Linked DNA regions of Astyanax mexicanus. The protein of the gene in region 2 purifies or fractionates together with the protein of the main gene of each other region. This does not show direct contact. Links are inferred from orthologs where the notes say so. Each region holds a gene or a part of one and is shown on either strand. Other genes may lie near its edges.

Region 1 (8,091 bases), on a different chromosome or scaffold from region 2:
ATGATACATACCAGTCATGCTTACATTTTTATAAACATTTCCCTAAAAGATAACGCCTTAATTGTGGCCAATTCCACCTGTGCTATAGACTTGAATGATGATTCTGTAAGCGGATACTGACAATATGCAAGTAAATCAATAATACGGCCCCGCTGGTGATGTCCAACCATCTACGTCTCATTACTGTTGGAGGCACACTGCTGCAGCTCAGCCAATCATCTCTCCCTCCTGCCCTGTCTCTAAACCCACACATCACCCAGTGCCCCTCCCAAACTACCCCTCCCATTTCTTTTTAACCCTTTCCAAATTTAGGGTGGAGTCAGCAAACATCAAGTAGTTTAGTGATTCTCTAAGGCATGCTGAATTCATGTCTGAATCGAAATTTAGTAATCTAAGTTCAGAAATTCCTGTGTTTTATTGGGTAATATCACAGCTACCGTGCTCATATTTAGCAATGAGTGATAGATACCCCTTTCTTTTTGATTCAAATACAGATACCTTCTTAATATAACAGTGGGTAGCAAGGCATCAAGTCATTAAGTTTTGGACACAAACAGTAAAAAGGACATAAAGGCTCTTCAAAGCATTTACTGTAGCTCCAAAAGATGGTTTTGTTTGCAGTGAGCTAATTAATTAACTATTTTCTAATTTTACCACATTTTCTCCCCAGTTTGAAAGAACAATTATCCATTGCCCATTTGTATGAACTCCCAGTATCAATGGTGATGCCCCCAAACACTGGGAGTGAGAAGACTAGCACATATCTTGATGGTAGTGATGGGAATTACGGTCTATTTTTAATGAGCCAGTTGTTATGGCTCGGCTCACAAAAAAAGCTGACTCGTTCAACCTTTTCTAATTTTTTGTTGCTAAAATTTATTTATTAACAAATGATATTGAAAAGTAAAAACTGCAGACAACCATGCTGCAGTTAATTAAAATTCCTTCTTTTTGCATTATTATTAACAGAAATAATAAATGTAGTACATTATTGTCGTAACATATAAATGTCAAAAAGGGAGGAAAATAAAAAAACTAAACAAAAACAAAACAAAAATGTTGGAGAATACTTCATCACTTCCTGTTAATACAGGTTAAAATGGGTTAGTAGGTTCATATTTTTTGTACTAATCTACCAAACCCACACTGTTTTGATAATTTTATAGTATATACTTTATAGTATTAGTATTAGTGTAGAACACAATAGGGAAGCAGCATATGTTTTACCAGGCTATGCAATACCAGGCAGGGATGTGTGTAACACAGCATGGGTAAGTATTTAATTTAATAATTTTAAAATTAAAGAAAGCTCTTTGTGGACAATAAAAAAGTCATGGGCTTCTGTAAAACTGGTAGAAACTGGAAACACAAAAACTCACAAAGAACACTGCTGCTATTTCTTAAGACTGCTTTAATACTTTCTGCAGGAACTGCATCATGTCAGTTATAGTGGTGAGGAATGGTTTGAATCTGCTAATACATTAAGAGGTGTGTGGTGGTCGAGATCATGCCTTCCAAACCACATGTAATGTTCCCCAGCATTAACAGCCTGCTGAGACCGCTCCAGATGACTCCTGGGAAAGCGCCTTCTGTGTGTGCCCTCCTCACTCTCTGCTCCCTGCCTTGGAACAAAGTCAGACTGATAGGCAGAATGAGTTCTCGGCGTCAGTCCCACTGCACACACACTGCTATCATGACAAAGGCAAAAATGAGAGCTATGCTGCCTGTGGTCATCAAGACACTTCTTCCGACCCAAAACCTAAAGAAAATTACAGAAATACACAGCATAATAATCATGTCTTCTAAAGTTATTTAGTAATAAATAAATATATTTATTTTTCAAATGGCTTTGTTTTGTCACTTTTTGACATAACTGAGATTGGTTTTTATTTGGTAGTATTATTTACACTGTGTCAAAATTTCTTGAAACAATACAAACTTACATGATCATATGTTTCAATTTTATTCTGCAGTGTTGCCCGGTTATCATGCGCTGAAAAAGGGTAGTCTCTTCCCATTGTTTTCTGAATAAAAAGAATGAAAAAAAAACCAGAATGTTTTACATTTTTATTGATACAGAACAGAAAATCATCATAATAAAGGCAATATAATATAAAATGTGTATTATGTTGTATATCATATATGATTGCCACCTGTTAACTAACTAAATAAACATAATTTGCTGACAGTTGCACTGCATGTACATATCCTATAAACTATAGCTAGAAAAATAATATAACTAACCTTTTCAGGGTTTCGTTTTGGATATCTTTCTGCTGCATGTGGCACAGGCTGGAGCACTCCTTGAGCCATCATGGTTCCTGTGCTCGTAAACATTGTTGACTTTTCACCACCATGAGCAAACTAAAAACAGAGTTTATTTGATATAGAAATAGTGTGGATTAAACAGTTTTATTCTTTGAGGGAAGACATTTTTAGCTATATTTTCTATGACTCTTTCATGTCCATCATTTGCTGGTTTTACATTTTTGAGCTATACAGGAACATGCAGAATTATTTTGTAAAAAATGTGTAAACTTTTAGTAGCCACATTTAGCTTTGATCACAGATTTGCACACTCTTGGTATATTTTTTTTACAGTGGCTTCATGAGGTAGAGTCACCTGGAATAGTTTTAGGAATAGTAAATAAATTTATAAGATTTAATATTTGAAAATGTATGAAGTTGGTGAAAAAAGTTTTTTTCCTAAATCTACTGCAATAGTTTGAAAAATATTTTGAAATAAAATATAGATTATAATGGTATATTTGAAATGTATTTAAAATGCATTTTACATATACAGCTCTGGAAAAAAATAAGAGACCATTTAAAAAATAAGTTCCTTTAATTTTACCAAATTGAAAACCTGAAGATAGATGATCACAAGTCATCAAACCAAGCTTAACTGCTTGAATGTTTGCACTAGGGGTAGTATTAAGTTATCCAAAAGCAGTGTGTAAGACTGGTGGAGGAGAACGGAGAACATTCCAAGATGCATGAAAACTGTGATTAAAAACCAGGGTTATGCAACCAAATATTGATTTCTGAACTCTTAAAACTTTATGAATATGAACTTGTTTTCTTTGCATTATTTGAGGTTTGAAAGCTCCACATCTTTTTGACATTTCAGGCATTTCTCATTTTCTGCAAATAAATGCTCTAATGACTATGTTTTTATTTGAAATTTGAGAGAAATGTTGTCTGTAGTTTATAGAATAAAACAATAATGTTCAATTTACTCAAATATATGCCTATAATTACTTAAACAAGAGAAACTGATTCAGAAACTGAAGTGGTCTATAACTTCTAGATACATTTATTTGGGATGGATCAGTAAAAATGAAATTCTTTTACATTGACTGCCATTAAAATGTTACATTTTTATTTCTTTTTTGTAGTAATAGTATCTAGATTTTGTTGTTTTTGTTTGATGATTAGCAGCACAGAAAAAAAGATGTCTCACCCAGTTACCATCTTGCTCCATATTTGCGTATCTTTTGCCTCCTTTCATCATGTTAACTACCTGTTAAATATAAAATGGTTCTAGTTTAAAGTATATTTAAATCATAAACGTGTATTCAAAGTGAAAAGTGTAAAGTGAAAAATGTATTTAAAGTGAAAAGTGTATTTAAAGTGAGCTTCAATAGGAGAGCAGTGAGATGTGTCTGTAATGAAACGCGTGTCTGCTGAGGGACATTTTTTGTCCCCATGACAACAGAATGCAGGCAGGCCATGTGATTGGACATGAATGTAGCTAAAGGTGCAACAAGTAACTTTATTTTTGTTTTTGTATGGCAAAGCATTTTTAGTTATCGAGCTTGCTAAAATGCGAAAAAGGGAAGTTTAAAGAAATAAAAGTGAATAAATAAAAACTAATCAACAAAGTAAAGTGGTACTCTCAGGTATCGCCAAATTAGCCAGCTAACTAACAAGAGAAACATATATAAATATAGCTTAACTTGCCATAGTTAATTAATTAATTATTTTATTTATTTATTTATTACAATACAATAAAAATAAATAAATAAATAAATAACGGTGGGTCAAAAAAAAAAACAATACGTATACGTGCAAAAAAATCTTTCTTGTTGTAGACTTACTAAAACAGTGTTTTTTTTTTCATAAATTTGCCTTTGGTAAACTAAAGTTAGCTACTTTTGTTAGATTAATCATGATAAAGCGGTGGATCACATTTCCTCCCAAACAAATCAGGGCATAGAGAGCTATTTAGCTACGTACACTGAGAGAAAATGTGTAGCGTTACATAAGTATATGAAATAATTAAATATAAAGCTAAATACTTGAATATCGTGTCTGTCAGGAAATATCTTATAAAGATATTTTCTAGAACTTTTTGCCGACGTCACATGTGTTTCCGGGTAGTGCGAGTTCAGCGCTAGTGATGGTTAAATGTGAGTTAGCTGAGCTGAAGGATCGTATAGTAAGAGGGAGCACCTATCTGGGTTAGTTAACCTAACTAACGCTAACTAGTTAATACGTCGGGACGTTAGTTAACCCTGGTCGAAACCCATTCTATCAAGGTTTAGCATCCTAAAGTTATTACCTAAAGCTGACAGCTCTGAAAACAATACCACTTGTAGTGTAACGTAGCTAGCTTAGGTTAGCTCACAGGTATGAGTGACATTACGTTAGCCACCTAATGCTAACTACAAAACAATAACAGCAGCACCTACAGCTACACTCTTATAGCTAGTCAGCTAGGTTACCTAACTAACTAGTTAACATGTTTGACTGAGTCCCGTCTTATAAAGCCTTACACCGCAGGGAGACAGTCGGAGCTACTTCATCGAAGTTTCTGGATGGCTCAGAGAGGTGGCCAGAGGCTGCTGTCCGGCTGAAAATGAGTTCCCCACAACAAGAACAGGTGTCGTCTGTGTCTGCAGACCACAGGCATGAAGACCTGGAGCATGACAGCGCTGCCAGTGATGATACAAAACAGGTAAGCAGTGCTCTTGAAACTCAGTAACTTAATAAGTTGTAATTACCATCAGCAGTTGTAACTTTAGCTACCGTGGTGACCTGGACAGTAGCTGTCAGTCTATGTGTACAACTAAAGTGGGTATATAATCTTATGACTTCAGTATTCTGGCTATGTGTACCACTAAAGTGGGTATATAATCTTAGAACTTCAGTAATCTGTCTATGTGTACAACTAAAGTGGGTATATAATATTAGAACTTCAGTAATCTGTCTATGTGTACAACTAAAGTGGGTATATAATCTTAGAATTTCAGTAATCTGTCTATGTGTACCACTAAAGTGGGTATATAATCTTAGAACTTCAGTAATCTGTCTATGTGTACCACTAAAGTGGGTATATAATCTTATGACTTCAGTATTCTGGCTATGTGTACCACGAAATTGGGTATATAATCTTAGAACTTCAGTAATCTGTGTATGTGTACCACTAAAGTGGGTATATAATCTTAGGATTTAGGAAATTTAGTAGCTCTCAGGCCATTAAGATATACCACTAAAGTGGGTATATAATCTTAGAACTTCAGTAATCTGTCTATGTGTACCACTAAAGTGGGTATATAATCTTATGACTTCAGTATTCTGGCTATGTGTACCACGAAATTGGGTATATAATCTTAGAACTCCAGTAATCTGTCTATGTGTACCACTAAAGTGGGTATATAATCTTAGGATTTAGGAAATTTAGTAGCTCTCAGGCCATTAAGAAATACCACTAAAGTGGATATATATTCTTAGGAGTAGTCTGGTTATCTGTACCAAAAAGTGGATAGCTATGTAATCTGGGTAGCTGTCAGGTTATGTAGCTATAAAGTGGATGTGTAATCTTAGGATTTAAATAATTTAACTATGTGTACCACTAAAGTAGGTATATCATTTTAGTTTTAATTTTAGATTTCACTTATGTTTCACGCTATGTAGCCATACCACTAAAGTGGGTGTATAGTCTTAGGACTTTTTTTAGATCACAATCCAACTAATTCCATTAAGTGGTGCTTTATCAGGCTGCCTAATTTACTGTTTCAACATAGTAGTTGCAGTTTGTCCAATTGCAATATTTACATTGCAGTATGAGCAAAGTCACATAGAATAAATTAAACCATGCCCACGTTAACACTTGCTTGTTGCAAAAGCAAAAATCCCACTGTCATTATACACCAATGTTCAGTTCACAGAGAGTGTTGTTAATATTGTTAACAACATGTTGATCATTGGTTTCTGGAGAAATTCATGAATTCCTATTTAAAAAGGACACATTCTTTTTTATTATTTTTCATTTTGAGCTGTTTATTTGGTTCAGTGTTTGTGTTCTCCTCCTTTACACCAGTCTTGCATAATGGAGAGGAAGGAGCCATGTCACTAGACACATAGTAGGGGAAACTGTTAATAGAATAATCATAAATAATATAATACATGTAAGACGTTTATTTTGGTAGCAAACAGTCCGATTTTAAAAGATGCAGATGGCTTAAATCTTCCTTCTGTTCTTTGTTTATGTTTATGTAGTTGTGCTTGTGAAGTTTAATGTTTTAAGTTCTGATTAATATACTACATTGCATTGTCTGTAAGCACTGTTGTTTGTTTGTTGTTTAGGGGGTGGTTGAATGTCTTGGTAATAATGAAGTAAAGAGTCGTGCTGTGGTGAAATACTCTGCCGCACCACCTCCGGCCACCTATGCACTTCTTCAGGAGCAGACCGATCTCAAGTTGCCCCCTGCCAACTGGCTGCGAGAGAGTGCCCAGCTCGGCTCTGCTGGGACCACTGTACTTGGATCCAGCAGTAAAAGCAAGCCATTCTCTAGGTATAAACAATAAACACTCTCATTGAGATTTTCAGAAAATTACATTACATTACATTACATTACATTACATTAAATTACATTTGGCAGATGCTTTTGTCCAAAGCGACTTATAATAGTGAAGTACAAAAGTAATAGAAGTTAAAAGATGTATTCTTGAATAATAAATGCATTCTTGAATTTTTAAGTTGATCTTCTTATAATAATTAATTGCTTTTATTTGTGTTTTTTAAGCTTTGGTATGGCCTATGACTTCATTGACTCGATTGGGAATGATGTTGATGTGGTGTCTGATTCAGAGGTGAGTTGTTTTTTTTTGTTATAAAGTTATCTAAAATATCAGTTGCTGATCAGTCCTCTGAATTCTGGGCTCTATTATCACTGTCTCTTTCTGTCTTTGACAGAACATAAAAAAGTTGCTGAAGATCCCGTATAGTAAGTCTCATGTCAGCATGGCAGTTCATCGGGTGGGCAGGACTCTGCTGCTGGATGAGCTTGACATTCAAGAGCTCTTTATGCGGTCATCCCATGTGAGCACATTCCCTTCTACTGAGATAACATGCTTAATCTACTTTCATATTTGCTTCTTGTCTTGTGAGCTCTGAAGGCCTTACCAATGGTATATAGTGAATGGTGTAATTACACATTGTATTATGCCAAACCTAACCAACAACATAAGATTTTAGTTTATTGAGCTTATTTGAATTATTTCACATGTTTAGACGGGAGACTGGACGTGGTTAAAGGAGTTTTACCAGAGACTTATTGACCAGAAGTGGCAAAGGAAGAAGAAAAGTAAAGAGCATTGGTATGAAAAGGCCATCCTCTCCAAGTTTCTTTACTACAGGTGAGCTAGAAATATATATTAATAATGGCTTCTTAACTGAACATTAGTATTATAGTAATAGTTCTCGTCTAATGCCATCAGTAATCAAGTGCACTACTTTGTCTTGTCTTTCAGTATACATGGAAATGATGTTGCCGAACCTGTGCCCTCAGACTCGGACAACTGTGCTGAGGAAGAAGAGGCTTGTGGAAGTGCTGAATATGGTCCGTCCTGGCCTGCACCCTTCAGCAGCCCTGCCTCTGAATCAGAGCAGTCCACTATTCCCAAAGAGGTATAATTAGCTGCTTCGTTTGTTTATGTCTGAAATCGATTTTAGAGAGGTTTTATATTCTCTTTTTCTTTTTTTTTTCAGGAGCGAGTGGGGAACACGTATGCTCTTGGTCATGTGTCATCTGTTCCTAAAGAGCAGAACCTTCCCACACTTTTTAATGAAGGAGAGAATAGCCA
Region 2 (8,036 bases):
ACTGCTGTTGGCCTTGGCCACCATGCTGTAGCTCAGTTTCTTATAGCCTAGGCCATCTTAGTAGAGAAGGACAATTCTATTTCTCACATCCTCAGAGAGTTCTTTGCCGTGAAGTGCCATGCTGAATGTCTGGTGGCAGTTTGAGAGAATTGTACCCAAAAAAAAATAATTTAACAGCTCTGCTCCACATTTATCCCTCGAGTTTGTCACGGCAACGAGACACACAACACCAGGAAGGGACAACGATACAAATTGGCACACTTTGGAGGTGTACTCCAACTATTTAGGCGTTAATGACTGTGTGTTGAGTTATTTTCAGAAGTTAATCTACACTGCTATACAAGCTATACATTGACTATTCTAAGTTATATCCAAGTTCAATTCCTATAATTTTGTCTCATGAAATAATACTTAAAAGAGAAAGATAAATTATTGTTTTTTTATGTCCACTAGAGGGCGTGGTGAGGTCAGCCAGGAGACGTGTACTGAGGGAAAGACCAGAGCAACTAAACGCAGGAAGCCTGAAGTGGCCTTGTCTATCAATGTGGGTGTGTTCAGATAGTACCGCCCCAGCTAGAAAGACACACCCACCACAAACAGACCACACCGGGTCAAGGGTCATGGCATGAAGAAAAGGAGTGGCTCATGGGAAATACTGTAAAGACTTGCTGCTAGAATATGTTGCGGAGTCTGAAATCAGAATTTGTAGATCCTCCCGCAGTGGATTGTGGGAAGGTCTCTTGCCAGCTTACAGGACTTAGTTCTGTTTTCTACTTCATTAGTTATCGGTTAAATTCTTTTTTTAATTTTGTTTTTCTGAGATTTTTGTATTTTTGCAGCTTCCCTTGCTGGGAATATTCTCATATTTTGTTCATGTGGCATGACAGGTGTGCAGGTGTATACAGGTGTGTGCAGGTTTGTACAGGTGTTTAGGGTTTTTTCTTAAGTTTGCTGAAGTTTCTTTAAGTTTCCTTTTGCCAGGGGAAGAAAATAATAAATACACACCTTTAAAATAATAAAGCCTTTGTCCTGCAGCACCAAAACACTGTTAAAATAATGTTAAATCTCTCCTCAATCTGATTGGGCAAATTGTAAGGTGTGTTTGGTGTCATTGAGACTGGTTTTCCACACTTCTGTCTGTGTGGATTTTAATAGTTAAGACGAGTTATGATGAACTTTGCTGTGCTGGTGAATATGTTGAACACAATTGGCGGAGCAAACAGATCAGAGTGAAATAAAATAATTTACTTTATTTTTTTTTCATGAAAAACTTTCAGGTATTTCATAACATTTTGGTTTGATTATCAATTTAATTTAAAAATCAAAATTAATCAAGAAATAAAATTCTCTCTGAAAACTGTCTACTGTGTAAGGTAATATATGTAAGTGTGAAGTTATTATTGTAAGTGTGAGGTTCTGATTTCATGCATGAGGTCATGATTCCATTAGAAGTATGAAAGTACTTTTAAGTGAATATTTAATCTTTACATTGTTTGCTGTGAGCGCTTTCAGTAAACACAGTGTAGCCTTTTAAAAATGTGACAACATGGCTTAAACAGAGTAAAAAATAAAGGAAAGAAAGTAAAAATGGAAAAAGCTTACAGCACCTGGTATTCCCAGGCGGTCTCCCATCCAAGTACTAACCAGGCCCGACCCTGCTTAGCTTCCGAGATCAGACGAGATCGGGCGTTCTCAGGGTGGTATGGCCGTAAGCGATGGCTGAGCTCCCAACAAGCCTATTTATACGAGTCTTTTCACTGTCATTTACTGCTTGTGACAAAAGTAAAACAGCTCTACGGACTAATACAAAGCCTCAAAATAAAAGCTCTTTTTAACTTTCCCTGGAAAAAGTAACCAAAGAACAAAATAATAATAAAAACACCCTGTCTTCACTTCAACTCTACATTTTTTATTCAATTTTGATGCTTTACTTTTGGAATGAAAGCTTCAGATTAGGTCAGGAAAAAGCCCAATACAAAAATAAACTAATACACAAAAGGATATCCTGAGAAATAAATAAATAAAATCATACACATACATTAAAGTACACTTAGCATGAATTTAAAGAAAAGTACCACGTCCTACAAAAGGTGCTCTTTTAAATTTCTATTCTCCGCTGCCCTCCAAACAGCCTGAGTCCGCCACACACCTTGATACTGCGGTCAAGCCAGCCCCCACTTCAAAACGCTTGGTCAAACTAGCCCCCACGCTGTTTCTCAGAGCGCGCATACACTGAACTGATCCAGGTAATTAAGACCTTCAGGATCACATGAACATTCTAGACTCGGGTGTGTTAAATCTGAAATTTTCAGCGTGGTAGAGCCCCACGAACAGGAGTGAGCCGCCCTGTACCTATACTGTGATGATAAGAAAAAAATAATTAATGTGGTTATTTTTTTATTTGCATGAAGAAGGAATATTCTTCATCAGAAGAAGGAAAGTACTTAAAAGTGAATACTTAATCTGTAAATTGTTTACTGCGAGGTGAGCGCTTTCAGTAAACACAGTGTAGCCTTTTAAAAATGTGACAACATGGCTTAAACAGAGTAAAAAATAAAGGAAAATAAGTAAAGATAGAAAAAGCTTACAGCACCTGGTATTCCCAGGCGGTCTCCCATCCAAGTACTAACCAGGCCCGACCCTGCTTAGCTTCCGAGATCAGACGAGATCGGGCGTTCTCAGGGTGGTATGGCCGTAAGCGATGGCTGAGCTCCCAACAAGCCTATTTATACGAGTCTTTTCACTGTCATTTACTGCTTGTGACAAAAGTAAAACAGCGGCTCCCAAAAAGCCTATTTATAAGACACTCACAGACCTGAGTCTTTTCACTGTCATTGAGATCTACCACTCTGCACAGCTATACTGGAGCCGGTTTATGGAGAGCCTCAACCCACTTCATATCTCCCCCGTTATAGCACAACATGAATGCAGACCGCTAGAGGGAGCCCGTGAGGGAGTACAAATTCAATACGGGTGAATGGAGCTAATTGGCTACAAACTCAAATTAAAATTTGGAACTAAGCACTTGACCAGGATATTCCTTTAATTTTGCAAAGCAGAATAACGGGTTTTGCTTAAAAAAATATCTGCATGTTTCCATTTTTCTACAGTAATCATACTGCTAACTGGTGAGCTGATGCTGGAGGTTGAGCCAGATCACGTTTAAAACACTAGTAACTGGTGTTAAGCTTTAAAAAAATATGTATTTGGTACAGAAGCATTTGATATTGTTCTGTTTGAGAAAACTAGTACATTATTTTGTAAAAAAAAAAAAGATCAAACATTAATTGTATTTATTTGCTCTATATTCCTAAGTGGGTATTCTCCTCTCTATACATTCTCTGGTCATACGAGCTGGTGGACTTAAGGGGTGGCCCCTTCTTGTGCCTCCATGGTTAAAAAAGTGTTGCTAAAGTGCCCTCTAGAGTGGTAAAAAGAGAGACAATATTAGTTATTTGATTAATTTCTTATGGGGAAAGTGATTGAGTTCCTGCTAGGGTGTCCCTTGTGACAAATTATGATGATGTTCCTTCTAGATCAAGACATTTTTACTAATGCGTCTTAATGAGTGCCAATCTATTTGTGCCCTTTTTCTTTCCAATAGGAAAGGCAGTCGCTATGATGTGCTGTCTTTGCCCCTCCCCCTAGACATTGTCCCAAAAGGGCCTTCCGTAGTTGAGGCAATATCATGCAGTAACCTATTAGTGCCCATCAATGAGAAAACTGGATTTGGCGGTACAAGCTAATTGTTGTAAGTGATGACATATAGTTTAAAAATCTTATTCCCATTCTTAAACTTGTATCTATTTATGTTTCCAGTTTTAGCAACACCCCCTCTAGAATGAACATGCCCTATGTACTAAGGCGCCCTTTATTTTTTTCTCCGCTGCCCTCCAAACAGCCAAAGTCCGCCACACCTGATTCAGGTAATTAGGTCTTCAGGGACACGTGATCATTCTAGACTCAGGTGTGTTAAATCTGAAATCTTCTGCATGATAGAACCCCAGGAAAAGTAGTGAGCTGCCCAATACCGGTACTTTGATAATAAGAAAATATGAATGAATGTTCTTTTTTTATTTGCATGAAGAAGAAATATTCTTCATCAGAAGTATGAAAGTACTTTTAAGTGAGTATTTTAACTGTACATTGTTTACTGTGAGCGCTTTATTTGAAGAGTAAACACGGTGTAGCATTTAAAAAAATGACAACATGGCTTGAACAGAGTAAAAAATAAAGGAAAGAAAGTAAAGATAGAAAAGCTTACAGCACCTGGTATTCCCAGGCGGTCTCCCATCCAAGTACTAACCAGGCCCGACCCTGCTTAGCTTCCGAGATCAGACGAGATCGGGCGTTCTCAGGGTGGTATGGCCGTAAGCGATGGTACGGCTCCCAACAAGCCTATTTATAAGTCACTCACAGACCTGAGTCTTCCTACGATATTTACTGTTTGTGACAAAAGTAAAGCTGTACTAATACAAAGAATACAAAGAAGCTCTCAAATACAAATACTAAAGTTGCTGTATTTATTTATTTATATACTGAATTTATTAATTTATTTATTAGTGATTTTATATATTTTTTTCTTTTTGATTTCTGAATTTTCTTTATTCATTTATATATTTTTAATTTTGGCAGTTTTGGTCCTCCATACTGTAACAGCAAGGCGTAAGCATTTGTCCTTAATGGCGTTTTTTCCCTCTTACATTACTTTTACTCATACTTTAAATAGTTTTAATCCGGGTTCTCGTCACTGAGCTCCCGACCTGAAGCGGCGCAGTGGAGCTGTAGTTAGAGGAGCGGCTGCAGTGCTGGGGTAGAGGAACTCAGCGCAGCGTGTACACGCGTTTACACTCTGCACTGTTTATAGTTTACCATATATACATATTTATTCATATCTCTACAGCGTTCTTATCTAGTCATATTAACCTGCGTTTGTTTCCTTCCCCAGCTTCAGTAACAGAGTAATAATAAGGGTTGTAGCTCAGTAAACACGTCTCTCACAGTCTCCAGTGTAGCTAATAGAGCGTTATAATGGCTCAGTCAGACAGCGACGATGGAATGGACGAATTTATGGAGAAATTTAAGACACAGAAATACAAAAATGCGTTCAATGAAAGCAACTGGGAGGAGGTAAGACTACACTTCCTTATCTGAACTTTGTTTCCCATTCTTTCTCTAGTAGACACTAAAATGACTGTGTGTCATCCTATTAAAATCCTCCTGTGTTTTATTAATTACAGGAGTTTGAGAAAGTACCCATGTTTATGAAAACAGCTCCAGAGGAGATAGACCCACTGAAGAACCCGGACCTCGCCTGCATTCAGTCCATTATTCACGATGATGACCGACCACCAGAAGGCAGGTTATCACCTGTATAAAACTTTACTTTCTATCTAGTTATTGTATTTGCTGTTGGACGGCTGTTTCATAATGATGTATTAATACTTATTTTGCTTCTTTAGAGCAAGCGAAGAGTCTGAAGGACGAAGGTAACGAGTATTTTAAGGAGAAGAACTATAAGAAGGCGATAGTGGCCTACACAGAGGGGCTGAAGAAGAACTGCTCAGACTCTGACCTCAATGCCATCCTGTACACGAATCGTGCTGCAGCCCATTTTTATCTAGGTATGTACTCAGTCTAACACTCATTATTCACATATGTTCATGCACTGTACAACTGGCTAATGATGGCAAAAGTGGGGTGTTAAACTTTCTTGATAAAATTGCTTTAACCTCAGGAGATCGCTGGTTCGAATCTTGCTCATGTAGCTTGCCATCGGCTACTGGAGCCCTGAGAGAGCACAATTGGCCTTGCTCTCTCTGGGTGGGTAGATGGTGCTCTCTATCTCCACATCACTCCAAAGGGTGATGTCCTCAGCACAAGGCATCTGTGAGCCGATGTATCAGAACCGATACATCTAAAATGTCTTTTACATAATCTGTTCTATGGTTTGTGTGTTTTTCTGCCAACAGAATTTTTAGGGTTCAAGCACCGAAGGTGCGTAGAACCCTATTGTTTTTGCTAAGATTTTTCTTCTTCTTATTAGGGTTCAAGCACCGAAGGTGCGTAGAACCCTATTGTTTTTGCTAAGATTTTTCTTCTTCTTATTATTATTATTATTATTATTATTCTTTTTCTCCTGTAAAAACAGTTGTGCAGCCTAAACCGTAAGTCATAGAGAAATGAAACTTGGTAGGTAGATGTAGGATCAGTGCATCTCGGTGGACAACAAAAATGGCACCGATTGGTCAAGTGGTGGCGCTATAAACAAGGAAATTCATTTTTCACAATTTTCTCAATAACTCAAAAACCATAAGACCTACATTCAAAATTCTTTTTTTGATGGATTCCTTGGGTCAATACCAACAACTTTCCAATTTGGACCATGCACTTCCGTCTATATAGATTTTGTGCTAATTTGCATAATATGCAAAACCTACTTTTGCAAACTAGTCCTAGGAATTTTGACCAATCCTGGCATGTTTGGTATCAAAACACTCGTGAGAGCATGCGCTTCAATATTCATTAAGAAAAAGTTGAAATATGTAAACAATATGGCCGCCATATGCAAATTAGTCCTTCCGGATATATGCCCCATTCACTTCAAGAGGTAAATTTGGAGCACTGTTTCTCAGCAACCGTGCAACCTAGCAAGTTGAAACTTTGCATGCAGAATCTATCATACAGCCTCTAAAGGATGTTCAAAGGGCAACTTAATCAATCAACATGGCTGAACACCATCAGCCAATCAGCATTCAGCAGACATTTTGGCAGGCTGAATGTTGCCCAATCTGGATGATATTTGGCAGTTATGTTCAGGTGGAGACACTGTAGTGACCTGCAAAGTGCTGAAACAATCCGCCCACTGGGGGGCGCTGTTCCAAAAAAACGAGTATATGTCAATCATGCTGTACTATTTTGACATCTAATTGTTTTTGCCATATTTAGTACAGTGGCTCTGACAAATTTCTCAATACAACTATGTTTAAAAAGTGCTTTGTTCATTCATAATTGCTAATTGTTTGAAAATAGCTATATTGAAACTACTCTCTGGATATTTGGCCTATCACCTCCATTTCAGTCTTGCTGCACACTGTAGAGTCTCTAGGTAAATGTTCATTAAAAACATTTGTGAAAATTTCACATACAATACTCTCCAGGCATCAAGCAATCTGTGCGTCCTTGGAATTTCTAACCTAAATTGCTGTAACTCTGCAGTATTTGCTGTAATCTCACAATGTTAAAGACCTCTGTACAATATCAGCCATTTAATACAGAACTAGATTAAGAATAACTTGACATTACATGTCATATCAGAACATTCACTCCTTTGTGCCTCTTCTCAACATTAATAACAGGTGAAAGACTTTTGATCATTTTAAATGTGACAGAATGTCTCCAATTGTGTTAGACCTTCTTACACATCACCATCCTATGCTCTAGTAGGCACCATTGTGCTAGTTGGTGCTTGATGAAGCGCCATTTAATTCAGAACTAGATTTATAATAACTTCGTAATTACATGTCATATCAGAACATTCACTCCTTTGTGTTAATTTAAACTTGTTTGGTCAAACATTTCAGCTTGTTCTGCAAAGGTTCAAAGGTCAATCTGAATACCACTTTGTGAACATTCTGGTTGAAGCCACCTGATCAATACCAATAACATGTAGACACCTTTTGACTAGTTCTAACTCACTTAATGAATATCCTACAAAGTTCACTAGATTTACATGTGAATTTAAGCACTGATCAGGTTGAAAGGCCTCTGCTCAACATTAATAACAGGTGAAAAACTTGATAATTTCTAAATGTGACAGGGCATCTCCAATCATATTAGACCTTCTTACACATCACCATTCAATGCTCCAGTAGGCACCATTGTGCAAGTTGGTGCTTGAACCCGATGATTGCCGCTTGCGGCTATATATATATTTTTTTTTTCGTGCATTGCTTTTTGCATTTTCAAAAATATGCAATGTGTATTTTTGATAATTATTTATATTTATTTTTTTGTTTCTTTTAAAACAGTTAAGA

Evidence for each region. Proteins that work in one complex are often made in the same cells at the same time.
Region 1: the proteins of ttc4 (region 2) and edrf1 purify together in Homo sapiens (affinity purification with mass spectrometry; 3 studies listed by BioGRID and IntAct, counting the BioPlex papers as one, with this or other methods). This does not show direct contact. The link is inferred for Astyanax mexicanus from reciprocal best matches to the Homo sapiens genes TTC4 and EDRF1.

What each region holds. Positions count from the first base shown.
Region 1 is NC_064421.1:19,745,310-19,753,400, reverse strand, and holds the start of edrf1 (erythroid differentiation-related factor 1), read left to right. Parts: upstream 1-4,829; 5' UTR 4,830-4,861; coding exon 4,862-4,960; intron 4,961-6,591; coding exon 6,592-6,800; intron 6,801-7,031; coding exon 7,032-7,098; intron 7,099-7,201; coding exon 7,202-7,327; intron 7,328-7,519; coding exon 7,520-7,644; intron 7,645-7,758; coding exon 7,759-7,915; intron 7,916-7,996; coding exon 7,997-8,091. Other genes in the region: tex36 (testis-expressed protein 36), read right to left, coding at 1,445-1,759, 1,944-2,024, 2,245-2,364, 3,464-3,514. UniProt on the Homo sapiens protein: Transcription factor involved in erythroid differentiation. Involved in transcriptional activation of the globin gene.
Region 2 is NC_064412.1:25,878,922-25,886,957, reverse strand, and holds the start of ttc4 (tetratricopeptide repeat protein 4), read left to right. Parts: upstream 1-4,783; 5' UTR 4,784-5,031; coding exon 5,032-5,130; intron 5,131-5,240; coding exon 5,241-5,358; intron 5,359-5,462; coding exon 5,463-5,624; intron 5,625-8,036. Other genes in the region: usp40 (ubiquitin carboxyl-terminal hydrolase 40), read left to right, coding at 454-562.